Linked DNA regions of Diceros bicornis minor. The protein of the gene in region 2 binds, or shares a complex with, the protein of the main gene of each other region. Links are inferred from orthologs where the notes say so. Each region holds a gene or a part of one and is shown on either strand. Other genes may lie near its edges.

What was found.
Region 1: the proteins of PRPF40A (region 2) and SF1 are in contact, whole or in part, in an NMR structure (PDB 8PXX), measured with the Homo sapiens proteins. The link is inferred for Diceros bicornis minor from reciprocal best matches to the Homo sapiens genes PRPF40A and SF1. Residues at the interface, in NP_001352526.1 of Homo sapiens: His164, Ser166, Tyr172, Tyr174, Ser181, Thr182, Trp183, Tyr213, Tyr215, Ser222, Arg223, Trp224; in NP_004621.2 of Homo sapiens: Pro575, Pro576, Leu577, Pro578, Pro579, Gly580, Ala581, Pro582, Pro586, Pro587, Pro588, Pro589, Pro590.

The regions. Positions count from the first base shown.
Region 1 is NC_080770.1:8,309,408-8,317,221, reverse strand, and holds the start of SF1 (splicing factor 1), read right to left. Parts: upstream 3,012-7,814; 5' UTR 2,694-3,011; coding exon 2,342-2,693; intron 996-2,341; coding exon 867-995; intron 1-866. UniProt on the Homo sapiens protein: Necessary for the ATP-dependent first step of spliceosome assembly. Binds to the intron branch point sequence (BPS) 5'-UACUAAC-3' of the pre-mRNA. May act as transcription repressor.
Region 2 is NC_080749.1:36,490,390-36,498,315, forward strand, and holds the start of PRPF40A (pre-mRNA-processing factor 40 homolog A), read right to left. Parts: upstream 3,005-7,926; 5' UTR 2,721-3,004; coding exon 2,319-2,720; intron 1,194-2,318; coding exon 1,062-1,193; intron 1-1,061. Other genes in the region: ARL6IP6 (ADP-ribosylation factor-like protein 6-interacting protein 6), read left to right, coding at 3,724-4,123, 5,881-5,934.

The sequences.
Region 1 (7,814 bases), on a different chromosome or scaffold from region 2:
AGTAGGAAATGCTTATCAAGTGAATTTTTGAGACAGCTGCACAGGTACGTAAATAAAGGTAAAACTTACATTAAAAACCTTGTATTTTAAAAAAAGGTAATTTTAAGGTTAACTTCGGATTCCACTGTGGACAGCCATTCTTAATTCCTGAAATTTCCCAACAGTTAAGATTTTTATCCTACCACTTCATTCCATTTCCAAGCAGTATCCATTTCCCAGCAGAGTTCTTTAATAGTAAATACAAGAGCCCTCATTTTAAGACAGCTCTCCAAAGACCAAAACAGAAAAGATGCTGAAGGGAAGGTTAGATTCAACCAAATGGTAAAAGGGGGTGAACTGTAAACACACTTTCAGAACCACTTTTTGATTAAACTGAGGTTTTTTTTTTCCCTTCAGAAAGTACCTATAAAAAGTAAAAAATCACGTTTTAGGGGGAGGGAGAAATATGAAATTATGGTGAGAGGCCATGCTGTGAAAAAGGTTCTTGGTTTACAATACTTGCAGTGTTCTCCACTGGGGCCATGTCCAGAGAGGCATAAGACACTCACCTCATCAACTGGCAGTGAGCAGCAGCTGAAAAGGATGGGGTGGGCTGTGGACTGGGGACTAGTGTTACCCTAAATGGGCCCCTCTACCTTCCTGGCACTCATGGAGAACACTGCTGTTATGAACAGACCAAACAAGGAGCTGCAAGTGCAGGACTCACTGAGCAAAAACTGACGAATTATGTCAAAGAAAGTACACCTGACCACACCTCATCTCAAAAAAGAAAACTTCACAATCTCAGGCTTGCAACAGATAAAAACACTGCTCAGAATAAACAGTAACAACCCGAAAATGCATCTGGATGCAGAACGTGTATTTACCTATATAAGCTCTTTCTTGTTCCCGAGTAAGTCCAGGGGGGATAACTGTAGGCATTCCTGGAATCACTGTCTTTTGTTCCATTGTGTCCTGGTTCCAGCGGCTCCTCTTCCGCTTCTTACTCGGGAAGTCTAAAGGGAGATACAGACCATGAGACACAAACATAAATCAACACAGTAACTACCAACACGTAGTTCAGGATACTTATAACGTTACAAGTTCAGCAGGCTCTGAAACTGAGAACTTGACCTAAAACTTAAATGGCAAAGTACACAAGTCAAACCTGAGACACACACCACTATAAGCAGACCTGGACCTGGGTCCAAAAGGTTAACATTTCACATTTATAATTTTTGTCCAGAAAAACGCTGTAAAGTATGTAAACAAATCTTATCGCATAATTTCCGATAGTGAAATAAAATGTTTCGAAGACATACGCTACATCATGCCTTAAAAGCCCCAGGGGAGACAAGAGTAGATTGAATCACCACAGGCAAGTTCGTAAAGCAACATCGGCAGACTGCTGGCTCCTCCCACCTCCACCTCCCCACCAGCAACCTTTCTAAATGGGCCACAACACAACTAAACCTACGGTTACTAAGTGAAAAAGCCCCACTCTTCAATAACATCACTTATTTTCTTAAGTTTAGCGCAGATAAGCAATTTTCCTGGCCAGTTTGGAAACTTTGTGTCTGAACTCCTCGTTCAACAGGGAACAAGCGATGCAATAGTAACAAAATCCTCCTTCCCCCATACATAGGCAGAAACTCCCTACACATCTGGTGCACAAAAGTCGTTCTACTTCCCGAGAGGAAAGCCCCAGCAACTACGAGGAGGAGGCGGACCAGACTTGTCTAAGGGAAATGAAAGGAGATCAGAACGAAACACAGGAGTCCCTCCCTAAAAAACGGCCACAAAAGATCGGACCAACCACTCCCTGAAGACTTCCATCCTCTCTCGTTCTCCGCACTGAAATCCCTGCCTTACTGTAAAAGACGGACTATTTTTAACACTTTCCTTCTTTTCTGCCTCCTCTACAGCCAGAAAGGAGATGTTCCACGTCATCACTTGACCCTTTCACTCCCTGCTGACATGCACCCCCAGCACCCCGTCCACCCACTCGACCCTCTCCACACCGCTCCCCTACACCAGCGGCTGGAGAGCAACAAGGCCCGTCCCCCCCCCGCCGCCGCCGCTTTTAGTCGGGCCCGCAAAGCCTAAGCAGCCACATTGCGCATGCGCACAGCAAACGTCCGCCCGCCCTGTGCCCCCTCCTCCCGAGCGCGTGCGCACTCGTGGCCCGAGCCCCAGGCCGCGCGCCCCGTGGCGCCTCCGCCCGGGCCTCCCCGTGCGTGCGCGCGCGCGCCCCTGCCGCGTGCAACAGCAGCCGCCGCCGTCGCCGCCGCCGCCGCGCGCGCCCCTCAGCCGGCCGGGCCCGTCCGCGCGACGCCTCTCGCGCTCTCTCGGCCCGACTCACCTCCTCCGCCGCCGGCCGGGCCCGGCTGCTGGTTCTGACGCGGCGGCTGCGGCGGCGACACGCGCTGGTAGAGCGGCGGCGGGTACGCGGAGCCCGGGGAAGGCGGCGGCGGCGGCTGCTGGGGCGGCGGGGGGGGCGGCGGCGGCGGCAGTGCCGCGAAGGGGAAGGCCGCGGTCAGGGCCCCCGCCGAGCCCACGGGCCGGCGCGGCGGCGGCCCGGGCACCAGCAGCCCCGCCCCAGGCCCGGGGGCAGGCGGGGGCCCCGGCTCGAAGCCCCCTTGGGGCGCGGGGACGGGAGGGAGGCCGGGGGGGCCCAGCTTACCCAGCGGCGTGGCGTTCGCTCCGGTCGCCATGGCGCCCCCAGGGACCGGCACCGGCGGCTCCTTCTCGGCGGCTCCTTCGCGAATCTTCCGGGGGGAGGAGACCCGACTGCGCTGCCGCGGAGCGCGCGGAGTCCGTCCTCTCACGCGGCGGGCGGCGGCGGCGGCGCGAGACGCACAAAGAGGGAGGAGAGAGGGCGCCGCGGGGGCGGGCCGGGGGCGGCGGGGCCGGGGCCTGGATTGGGCCGGGCCGAGGCGAGGGGGTCGGAGTCGGCGCCCTCCGATTGGCGGAGCCTTAGTCCTCCTCGCTGCACCCTGGGATTGGCCGGACCGTTAGGCCAGGCGAGGAAATGGCGGCCGAGCCCGGCCAGCGGGGAGGTGTCGCAGCGCGCACTTCATTTGTTACTGCGCGGACTAAGCTCGGAGGCCAGAAAGGAGGGGAGAGGGCGGGCAAACTCTGTGACGTCGGGACCAAGCGCGCTCTCATTGGCTGCAGTGGATAGAGTCAACCATGCTCAGTTGCGTCGTAGTGTCATGGGATTGGCTGTCGCTGGTTGGATCCTTTTTCTACACCCCTCCCCCGGGGAGCACTTTCGCTGGGATTAAGCGAGAGGTCGCGGCGGAAAAGCCCTGGCCGAACGAGATTTAGGGCGGGGGAGGAGTCGAGTCGGAGCGCGCATGCGTAGTTGGGTCAGCACCGCCTCTCCGCCCCTAGCTTCACGGTCGACCCCCGGTCCGGCACGGAAGCGCCAAGTGACGTCAATCCTCGATTGCCATGGTAACCCGGAACCGGCGAGGGGGGAGGGGCTGGCGCGCGCCCGTGAAGCGGGTCCGTTGACGCCGCAGGTAAAAGGGACTTCCTGTTTTCTTTGAAAAGGATAAGAACTGAAGGAAAAAACCTATAGTCTTATTGAAGGATTAAAAACGATATCTGAGCCGATGGAAGAACGCGTAATCTTAGGCGGAAAACAATATAAAGTGTCAATTCCAAGATTAGTTCACAATGTATTTCCATTAAAATCTTATCGAGGTTGAGGTTAAATCATCTCAAAATCATATAAAATAATAACTATGAAAGTCGTGGAGAAACTTGTACACACAGTTGAGGAGGAGCTTGCCTTTCTGGATAATGCAGAATAAAAGACGCAGTAAACAAACAATGTGATGCAGGAAAGATTAGCACAACTGAATAGAGGACGGAAATAGATTCCCCGTATATATGTAGGAATACCACAAAGATGGTGTTTCAGTTCAGTAAGGAAAAGATTCAGTTGGTAAATGGTAACAGTCCTAAATCTAAATAAAACAGACGTGGAATACAATTTAGGAGACTATCGGGGTCATCTAGGGGTAGAGACTTTATGAAGACAAGTGTAGGGAAGGAAAAATTTTTCTTCTACCCTTCTTGGTTGTCTGGCTGATCTGATCAAGTTAACAGGACACATTAACAGGAGAAAAACAATTATAATTATGTAAGGTGGGAGAATATGATACCCAAAGAAGTGTCCAAAGTGCACAGCTGTTATACCTTTTAGACAAAGAAACAGTAAATCTGTGAAGAATTAACAAGACAAAGAAGTCTGGGCTTGGGGTAGTAAATTAGTAAAGAAGTAACAAGGTTTGTTTATATAGCCTTCTCTGCCCTTAATTCTCTATCTCTAGTGATAAGGATGTCTCTCTACCTCCTGGTACAGGGAGGGTACATTTCACATGGGAGATTTATTTCCTACTTTCAGGGGGCAAAGGAAGGTCAGCATGTCCTTCTTGGCACTGGCTGCCTCTTAAGTAACAATTCAAAATAATCAATATGCCAAAGTGGTATATTTTGGGGTGGCCTGTCCTGAACCCCAACACAGGAAATCCAAACTATAAGGAAGAGATATACTTGATTACCAAAGAAACTAAAACTGTGATAAAAGCCAACGGACAGTAATATATCAGGGAAATATGCTTGCCACATGTACAATAAAGAGCTAATATCTATAATATGCAAAGAAGTCTTAAAAACTAATTAGAAAAAAGACAAAAACAATAGGAAATGAGCAAAGGCTATGAATAGGCGAGTCTCGGAAGAGCAAATGCAAATAGCCAAAAAATATGAAAGGATACCAACCCCCCAAGAAGGGAAATGGAAAATTAGGTGATAATGAGGACTCTATATAACCATCAAAATCGCAAAAAACAAATGCACTCACACTGACTACTGTGAACATTTTTGGAAAGCATTCTGTTTCTATTAAAATTGTACCCCTTTCAGGAAAAATAAAAAAACCTTTTCAATGTAGCAGTCCCACTCGTGGGACTCTGCCCTAAGGCAAGGCGTGTGGTTATATAATATAACGTGTTCAAGGTTGTCTCCTGCATTTACTGCAGCTTTGTAATGGCAAAAACCTGGAAACAGTGAATTTCCATTGATATGTGAATGGTCAAACAAACTGGAATATCCATAACCTGGCTTATTAGGCACCTTGAAAAGGAGTTAATCCATACTAACTGACCTAGAGGGACTTCTGTGCTGTATTATTATTAAATGAGAAAAGAAGCAGAGAAATATGTATTACATGATCTTGTTTTTGTAGAAGAAACAAAGCCCATATATGTGCATGCTTGTTTGCGTAGGATTATGTGAGTGCAGAGAAAGCTGTGGAAGGATACATGGCACATTATCAGTGAAGACATTGCAGAGGGAAACGGGTGCCTGGACGTTATCCAATACAGTTTAGGAGCCCAACATATTTTATAAATGTGCTTCAGGGGCCTACCTGGTGGTGTAGTGGTTAAGTTCACACGCTCCGCTTCCATGGCTCAGGGTTTGTGGGTTCAGATCCCGGGCACAGACATACACACTGCTCGTCAAGCCATGCTGTGGCAGTGTCCCGTATAAAGTAGAAGATTGACACAGATGTTAGCTCAGGGCCAATCTTCCTTACCAAAAAAAAAAAAAAAAAAAGTGCCTCATACTTTTTAAAAATGTGTGACATGGTCCCATTTATAACAACATTATATATAACTGTATAGATATAAAGAAATGCATTGACAGGACAATCACCAAATTTCCGATGGTAAGGGGATCTCAGATAATTTTTACTTTTTTTCCGCCCATTTCTATTTATTCTAATTTTTTACACTGAGCAAGTGTTATTTATATACCAAATATTAAGCTAATATTGTAGACAAGAAAGGAAAAATATAAAATGTTTAAATCATCTGTTTGAAGGAAAAATTAATTTATTCAGTAAATACGACAAATTCTATGGAGGCAGGAAGAAAAGAGTCATCCAATGTTTGAGCAGCTACTGAGTGCAGACCAGCTTGGTGGCTACCACCGTAAATGAAATTCGGTTCCTGCCTTCCAGAGAATCGTAGTCTAGCAAAGGAGAAAGACAAATGCACGAAGAGAAATGTACTGTTAATGCTAATAATGACACCTCCGTACTAATAATGGTGAAGGCTGCAGCTGGGACTGTCTCAGGGGGCAGGCATTGTCACTGCTTTGTAGTCATTTCAGTTTAATCTCTTTTATCCAGGATTTTGTGGGAGTATTTTTTAATCACCAAGTTAAAATATTTTGGTCATCTTTTTATTATTAATTCCTATTTTTGTTAGATTTTGCAGAAGATGGCCTTAAAAATCTCTACTTTTTCAAAAAAGTACGATTTTCTTTGTGGTTAAATATATGATCAATTTTTGTAACTGTTCCAAGGACAAATTAATGGCTGGAGAGTTCGGATGTTGGCTGCTCCAGGCTCTGTTCTGAGTTCTTGTACACGTAGTAGCTCATTTCACCCACACAACTTTTGGAGATGAGTATTCTCTCTAATTTATAGATGAGAAAACTGAGCCACAAAAAGCTGAACTACCCACGGCAAGGTCTCACAGTCTGCCAGGATAGTCTGCTGGTGCAAGACTCCTCTGTGGACAGAACAGGGTTGGAATGCAGACCGTGCTGCTCTCTGGCTGAGGACCACTGAGCCAACTTCCCATTTTTGAGGCAAGTTGCAGTCCTATGGGGCCAGCCATCCTCCAGCTGGCAGCTAGGGAAGGCATTTAATCTCTCCATGCCTCAGTTGGTCTGTAGAAGACTAATATTAACGCTAGTCTGCAGGGTACTGTGCTGATTCAATGAGATGAGAGGGCACGTTGGTTTTAACGGGGCATCTCCTGAGCTGCAGGCGCAAGAATTACACACAGATATCAGATGCAGATGCCTCCTGATCTTATACAAGGGTGCGGTACAATAAAAAATATATGTCTGGTCTTTGTCCGCAGATCCTGGCACAGAGCTTCAGAAACCCTTGGGATTTCCTAAGCGATAGGAGTGTCTTTCATTTTTCCTGAGGAGCTCCTCTGGCCCATACCTGAGGTTAGCTAACAGGGTGACTCATTGCCAGCTCTGAGGGCCCAGTGACAGCTTCAGGATGCTGGCTGGTCACCAGAAAAACCAGCCAACTTTCAGCCCCACCCCCCACTTCAGGGGCTGGAGATTGCATTCAGTCACACGGCCAGTGATTTAATCAACAGTGCCTGTGTAATAAAACCTCAATAAAAACTCTGAACTGTGAGATTCGGAGAGCTTCCGGGTTGGTGAACATATTGATGTGACAGGAGGGTGGTGTCCCCTGACTCCACAGGGACAGAAGCTCCTGGGCTCAGGACCCTTTCAGACCTTGCTGCCCTCTGCCTCTCCTCATCTAGCTGTTTATTTGTATCCTTTATATTAAAACGGTAAGCATAATATAGCACTTTCCTGAGTTCTGTGTTTCATTCTGGCGAATTATTGAACATGAGGGGAGTTGTGGGAACCTCCGAATTTGTAGCTAAGTTGGACAGAGGTGTGGGTAACCTGGAGACAAGACCCAGGACTTGTGGCTGAATTCCTTAACCTGTGGGGTCTGCCGACTCAGGGTGGTTGGTGTCAGAATCAAATTGAACTGTAGGACATCCAGTTGGTGTCAGAGAATTGGTGTTGGAATGTAAAGGGGGAGAGGTTTCAGCCCCTTCCTGCTAATCCCTGGCGGTTTTCATCTTGTAACTCTACCTCTGATAGTTCAGAAGCCCCAAGCCGCAGGCAAGATTGAGAGGTCGTGTCACCCAGCTAGCTGAGACTGGAGGGAGCAGATCCGTGGTTGTCTGCTCAGTGTCCCGCCTTTGGAG
Region 2 (7,926 bases):
TATAAGGAAGAAAACCACTTGACATTAAGCCCGTCTACTCTTAAAGTTAAGTAGAGAGAGAGACAGAGCAAGCTCCTTTCTCCACTACAATTTTACCAATAACTTAAACCATCAAGGCTTAAACAATTATCAAAGTAAACAGTATTAATTAGCAGAAAGATCATACCTAATTGACTGGCTTTCCAAAATGTTTTGTTAGCCTAAATTTTTGATGATTTATTGAGATACTCAAATGGAAAGAACTCAGCCACCAAAGCATACTCTTATTATAGACCCTAACAGGGGATATAAAATTATTCATGGTAACTGAACCTGTTACCTTTCTTGGATGCTTCTCTAGGAACTCAGTTCTACTGAATTCACTGAGTCAGCATTAAAACCTTTTGATCCAAATCACTCCTACAAAATGTCCGTTTACAATTTATGCTGGAGATGGAAGGGACAGCTCAAAAGCAGGAGTGCAGAAGCAATAAGCATTTAAAAAAACAAACAAAATAGTGTAAGTGGAAAATGAACTACTTATTTGGCACTGTGCTATGAAGAATCAAATTAGAATAGAACCTCCCCACCTCCACCCCCACCACACTCGCGCGCGCATACACACAAGAGGAAGCTATTTCAGGAATAAAATTCATTCTAAGCCAAATGCCTAAACAATTACTATTTTCCGATTCTATGCATTTACATGGTCCACCGACATAAATTATGTTGACCTATCAGATAATATTTACTCTTAGAACATTAACATCAATTGACATACTTGGGGGAAAGAAAGTCTTTAAACTAAAAAGCCTAGATGTACACTGTTAACTTAAAAAAAAAAAAAAACCTCTTAGTTTTGTTGCAGTAGAAAGTAAATCTTTTATACAGAAGACTTTTCATTACATTCAAAATTTGGTTAGTGTCACGATTGAACATTTGACTTATTTGAAAACGTTATTCTGGCATAAACTAATTCTTAAACAGCTGCAAATATTGACCCAGATTTTGAAATCTTGACACAATAATACCACAAGCAAAAATAAACAAATAAATACAAAACAAAACAAAAACATTCTTACTTGTCCCATTGGCGGCCCTCCCATAGGGGGCATCATTTGCGGCATCATTCCATGAGGTACAGGAGGCATATTGGCTCTCTGACCCATAGGGTGCATTCCCATTGGGGTATAATGCATGCCAGGGTGCCCCATCTGAAAAACAGGGACAATTTAAAAATTAGCAAATAACAATAAATGCTTCTCAAAAATCTGATTCCCATAATTCAGTTACGTATAGTGGTATAACATTAGGCTGTGTAATTCAACTATTGGGTTAGCTTATACTTTCTCATCTTAAATAAACTGCACTACACTAGTATTTATAATGGGTTTGCAACTGACCAAATTCCAGAACAAAATGGAAAAAATTAAAATCATTAGTGGACAGCAGATCGTAGCTTTTATTTTTAAAGCACACTGACTTAGTTACTAACTTGCTTGCTAAGCTCGGAGGAAATGTATGTGAAAGCCAATTTAAAAACTGTTACAGTAAAAAACCACAACTCTGTCCTATTTCACACAGACAGAAGATAGCCACCTACTGTTATTTTACAACGCTACATATTAAACTTATTTCTAAACTTTTACTAAGCTTTAAAACTCTGAATTTACCAAATTAACTCAGATGACAGTTGGTATTATAAAACACAACAGTATGGGTATCCAGAGACACTTCACTCCTAACAAATAAACACAATTTCCTAATAGAATCTCTAACACAGGTAAAATTACTTTTGCCAAAAAAATTTTTTTCAAAGATTGAGGTCTGTCATTCAAAGACACTAAATGCAAACAACTAATTTGCCCATTTCAATGCGCTTTTGTAAGACAACTACTTTCTTGACTCGTGTGTCCATTGTTCCAGGTCTTAAAACCAGGTATTATCCCCTGCCAATTCCCCCAGCTGTCCTCCGCTGCAGACACCACTACTACAGGTGAAAACAGATTTTGGCAGCCTCTCTTAAAGTCTACAGAATCAAGTCTCCGCCTCCCCCTCCCTGTTAAATCGGGCCTACCTCTCCAAGACGCTCAACCCGCCCAGGGCCCAGCACCTACACCGCGCATCTGTCTAGGCCAAGCCCGCTAGGAACTTCCAGGGTCCCACATCCTTCCCTTTGTGCATCCCCGCCCTCCATTTCTCTCCCTCGGAACATATCCCACCATCGCGAGCTCTTCCTTCGTCCACTCTTATCTTCTTCTCCTTTTGGTTAAAGCTTCCTGTCTCTCTGACTCCGTTTTTCATTGTGCCGCTTTCCCCCTGCCCCACCGATCCCTTACCGAGGGCCGTCTCCTCAGGAAGCCGTCAGCAGAGACCCAAGAGCTGGAGCAGAGGCTTGAGCCGGACAATCTCCGCTCCCCGTCCCCGGGACCCCGCGAGGGAGGATGGCTCTCCATTTCACTCACCATGAGGCCTCCACGCTCGGCTCCCGTCCCCGGCCTCATCGTCGGGCTCAGACTGCTCCGCCGGCGGCCACTGCCGCTACACATACCAACAAGAAGCGATCTGAGTGGCTGGCGCCCGCTGGGGCCAAAGGTTAAAGGCTGCCCCGCGCTACGGGGCGGGATCAGCGGGGCCAATAAGCTGACAGGCTTCCCCGCTGTCCAATCAGAGTGAGCTGCCGACACGCAGCTCTGCGGCGATTCGCCCCCAGCCTCAGCCTCACTCGGCGTCGCCTGCATGGAGGGGGGGGGAAGGGGACGGAGGAAGTTTCTGCGCCGAGTCCTCTGCCGGGAAAACTCCACCAACTTCCCCCCGGGAAGGGAAGATAACCGTGTCCCAGCTTCCCGAGCTTAGACTGCCTCACCCCGTATGGGGTGGGGCCGTGGGGCCTGCCACCTTCACCCCCCGCCCAAGTTACGTACGACCCACAAACCTGAGGCCGCCAGGGGTAGGGTCGGGTGGGGTGGGGGTAGGATAAGCAGCTTCTAGCGTTAGCGGTGGCCGGATGCGCGCGTGCGGTGCTCGAGGCGAAGGGGAGGGGGCGGGGAGGGCGAGAGAGGAGGGGTTGCGAGGTGAGGGTTCGAGCTCCGTACGCACCAGCCGGAGAGCGCGCGCCGGGGCGGAGCGGGAGCAGGAGGCGTGTCGAGCTGCGTGGAGGGAAGTTGTGGCAGGGGTGGGGAGGACAAGGCGAAGGGGAAAGTGGGGTGGGCAGTTAAGGCGAGGCGAGAGCGCCGGGCGGTGAGCTGCCGTTAAGTAGGGAACGCGGAAAAGAGTGCGAGCGTAGCCGGGAAGAAGGGAGAAAGCAAATAGGTTTGGGAATGTGAATCACAGGTGCACGGGCAGGCGCTAGGACCGGGCGTCGGGAAGATGCGGCTTTGGGGCTGGCGGGACGCGCGCTTGCCTGGAGGTGACGCGGCGGTGGCGAAGGTCTTTGGCCGGGACGAAGCACTGCAGGGAGAGGAGACTCGGCTGTCTTGGGCCTCGGCTCGCCTCTCCCTGCGCGCTTTCCTGCTCTCCTTCCCTCCTACTGCCAAGGGGTCGAGCTCTGGCCCAGGGGCGCCCTGTCTCTCTTCGGGCCTCACGGCACCTTCCCCGCCCTACCGCGCACCCTTGCGCACCCCTGCGCGCCAGGGCAGGGTGGTGGAGGCCGTGGGGGGCCCCGGCCGTTGATTGGCTGTGCGAGCGCGGGGCGGGGCGGATGGGAGACGCTCGGCCTCCGCGCGCCGTATCGTCTTTCCCGCCATGTCGTTTTTAGAGAGCGGGAGGACCTCGGTTCCCCTGCGCCGCCGGCTGGGCACTCCTTTCCCAGTCGCTCGGCCGGCGTTTTCCGCGTTCTCTCAGGGGGACGGTTGGGGTGAGGGTCAGGTCGACGAGGAGGAGGGATGCGACCAAGTGGCCCGCGACTTGCGGGCGGAGTTCTCGGCCGGGGCGTCGTCGGAGCCTAGAAGGGGCTCGCTGCTCCCGCCGGACGGGGATGGGTCCCCGGTGCTGCCCGATAAGCGCAATGGCATCTTCTCGGCGGTGGCGGGCGGCCGAGCCCAGGCTCGGCGGTGGCCGGTCCAGGTCCTCTCAATTCTGTGTTCGCTGCTGTTCGCCATCCTCCTCGCCTTCCTCCTGGCCATCACCTACCTGATCGTAAAAGGTATTGTAGTTACGGCCTTGAAAGGCTGTCCAGAGTAAAGTTGAGCCTGGACGTGGCTCTCGCCTTCATCACCCCCCTCCCCATCAAAGACCGGTGAGGTGGTAGTCGCTTTCACCTAAAGTATTCATCAGCACTTTTCTTGGCTCTTCCCCGTTTGCTTTCTCTTTTCTTAAAGGTGGAAGGCCCTGGTACATCATCAGGAGACCTATTGTAAGAAAGTCTTAGTTAAATGGGTACTCTTGAAGAAACAGTATCTTCAAGTCGGCGAACACTTGAGATGAAATACTGGCAAAATTAAGGAGAATAACCATCATTAAAAAGAGATGGTGAAAAGTGTGTAGATAATTAAAATAGGCTATACATGTTCAAAGATTTTAACGGACAGATGATTAAAGATGTGCTATCGTCTGATTCCCATGTACACACAGAATTCCTGGAGGACAAGGATTTCCATTCAGCCCAAGTTTCTATTTTTATAGGTAAAATAATTAGCCCCTCTCGATTTTGGGTTCCCATCCTAGTGTAGTGGTAAAGCTCTATTGTGGGAGCTGTAGTCTGTTCTTTCTCTGATTAATAGTTTTATTTTCCTGTGTCTGAAAAGATGTGCCTTGAAAGGTTTTCCAAAGCTTATACAGAAGGATTGTATGGTTGGGTATTTTATATTACTGTAGAAAGAATCACACATGAGTTTAAATCTCATTTGTCACTCGTATGTGATTTTGGCCAAGTTATTGAAAAAGAAAAATTCAAACAAAAAAAACTACCTTAGTTTGTTGTGTGAAAAGCACCCAACGCGTTGTCACTGAAGTATTACTCTTACTTCACTATTCAGTAGTCTGTTTAGCTCTGGTTTTTATTTTTCCTCATTGTTTCCAAGCTGCTAGTGGGCTGCAGAAGGCTTCTAACAGCTTGGTAATGCTTGGTTTTCATGCAGAAGTCAGATTGGCAAGTTAATGTGCAAGTTGTACCTTTTCATAAAAGGGTATTGGGTGTAAACTGTCAATGTTAAATATTTGGGTGCCAGTGTTTCATTCCTATCAGTCCCCTCCCCTCTTTTTTTCACTGCACCTCTGAGAAGAGTTTCATCTTATAGGTAGTTTCTCTTTTGCTCTGAGAGATTGCTTTTATATCATAAAGTCACAAAACCTCGTATGTGGAAGTCCATTGCAGAAGACATGGATTCTTGCTTATTTTGGAGAATGGAGAAAGGAACTGAACTCAAAACCTAGTATCTGCTGTAGTTTGCATGACATAAAATGTCTTCACAAGGGCCAGCCTGGTGGCATAGTGGTTAAGTTTGGCGTGTTCCACTTCAGTGGCCCAGATTCAGGGGTTCAGATCCCAGGTGCAGACCTACACCACTTGTCAGCCGTGCTATGGTGGCGACCCACATATGAAGTGGAGGAAGATTGGCACAGATGTTAGCTCAGGGTTTACTCTTTCTCAAGCAAAAAAACAGAAAGATTGGCAACAGATGTTAGCTCAGGGCCAATCTTCCTCAGCAAAAAAGAAAAAATGTCTTCACAGCAACATTAGGAAGTAAACATTCCTGTTTTATATACCTGGCAGTTGACTCATATAGATGTCTTATTTGCTCACTGGAGGTCACATAGCTGGTAAATGGAAGCAGAATTTGAACTTGGTTGTTGCTGACTCCAAAGCACTCTCCACAACTCTACAGTGTCTTCCCAGCCTTTAAGCTACTTTTCAAATTATAAAATCATCTTTTTTACCCAAGCACCTTTTTGTATTTACAGAATTACATGCTGAGAATTTGAAGAAAGAAGCTGATGTAGACTCTGGGCTATTAGGTATGGACTTAATTGTCACTTGATTTGATTTTGAGCTCACTTTTGTTTTTCCAGATCGTATTTAAACTCTACAAAATTTTAGATAAAATACTTAATATATTCCCTTGTGCTTTTGATTCAGTCTTGATCTTGCAGACCTTTCTAATGAAAAGACCTTGAAAGACCTTACTGTGTGTGGTAAATTTTATTAGATTTTGTTTTTATGTATGTATGGCATGTGATGTGTGAGTGGGTATACCACACACACTAGGAATACAGTTTGAATACAACTGTGGGTGACTAAGACCCAGAGAATATTTAACGTTTTCTAATTACCTTCTGGAATAGTCTCCCCACGCCTCTTCCCAGGAATTAAAAACAAACACACTTTCTCACAGACTTGGCGAAGATAACATCTTAAGTAGACCTTAGGAGAAATTTAAGTTCAAATCTGTTTAAAAGCAACTTCTTTTGTAAAAAAAAAATTTGAAAAGCATTAGGCATACTTGCACAGGTTAACGATGACTAGGAAAGAGTCAGACTTTCTGTAGACTGTAGCATGCTGTAGTTTACAGGTTTCTAGTGAAAAATTGAAGGGTTGTTTATCTTGTATTTATTTCTCCGCCAAAATGATTTAGAAGAGTTCAGAACTTTACCTGTCTGGCATATTTTACTCCTATTTGCTATAATTATTTGATTGATTGCTCTAAATTGGGGAAAAAAAGTTTGAGATCCTATCTTGCATGTCACCCCTTCCCCCAGTCTTAACTAAACTGTGTAGACTACCTCTTCAAGGCTAATGCCCTCATGATGATACAAAGTATTGTCTGACTGATTTTGCACAAAGGAAAACGTTTGTCTTCAAATTGCACACAAATTAGTTTGCTAGATATCCCTTGAAAACTTGTCTACGTTCTTCTCAACTTCTTGCATGAGAAAACGTACTTTTTACTTACTCATTTTATTAGTGTATGTAGTTATACTGTTTCATCCTTAAAAAACAACCAAGATTATGAGGTTTTTCATAGCATTTATTGATCTGTCAACTCTTGATGTAGTAGAAACAAAATCTTATGAAGTAGGCATGAATTCTAACTTGCTATTTAAAAGTTGGCAAGATTTCACATTTATGAAAAGAATGAGTGGCATTTGTTATCTGCTTTTGAATGGCTTGTTATCAAAAGGCGTATAATAGGGCTTTGTCATTGCCCTGCTTCCTTTTCCACTTCCAGTTAAGTAGTCTGGTATTGCTTTTAGGTGTACTTGGTAGATGCTTAATACAATAACAGCAAATAGGAAGATCATTATCTGAGTCTTTGCTAGTGACATGAATTTACTTTCAAGATTCGGGAACAATCTCAGGAGTGAGGAGAAACCGCTGTATCTTTATGGCAAAAAACCACTGAACGGTAGTTATGGCAAAACAAAGATCCTTATTTTGAACTAATGCTCCACTGGTCAAATGGAGAATATATTCAGCATCACCTAATGGACTATTCAGTCAGTTTCCTGAGGATTAATTTTAAAGTAAGCATAGTTATATTTATAGCAAATATACATTATAACGTGTGATAGAGAATACTCTTCTCTAGCAAGAGAATAAGATTCTTCAAAATCTGTTTCAGAGAATCAGTGATTGAGTTGATTAAGCTCTTATAAGGTTTGAGGTGACTGAGGTAACACTTGCCCTTCATTGGCCTAAGCTGGAATTCTCCTGTTGGGGAGAAAAATGCTAGTTAACCTCTTTACTGAATAATGTTTTGAATTGACTACTAGCCTCTGAATAGTCCACTTACAACAGCTGATGGTTAAAGATAGGCCAGTTCTCTCAAACCTTGACTTGCATCTAAATCAACCCTGATTTTGTTAACTTAGATATCAAGAAAGATTGCTACATTAGCTTACTCCCCAAGAAATGCCTGTTAAATTATATCTTACCTTTTTACAATTGATATAAAAGTTTTCACAGAAAAGAACAATCCAGAATGTTTAATAAAAACTGTTGTTGAAGTC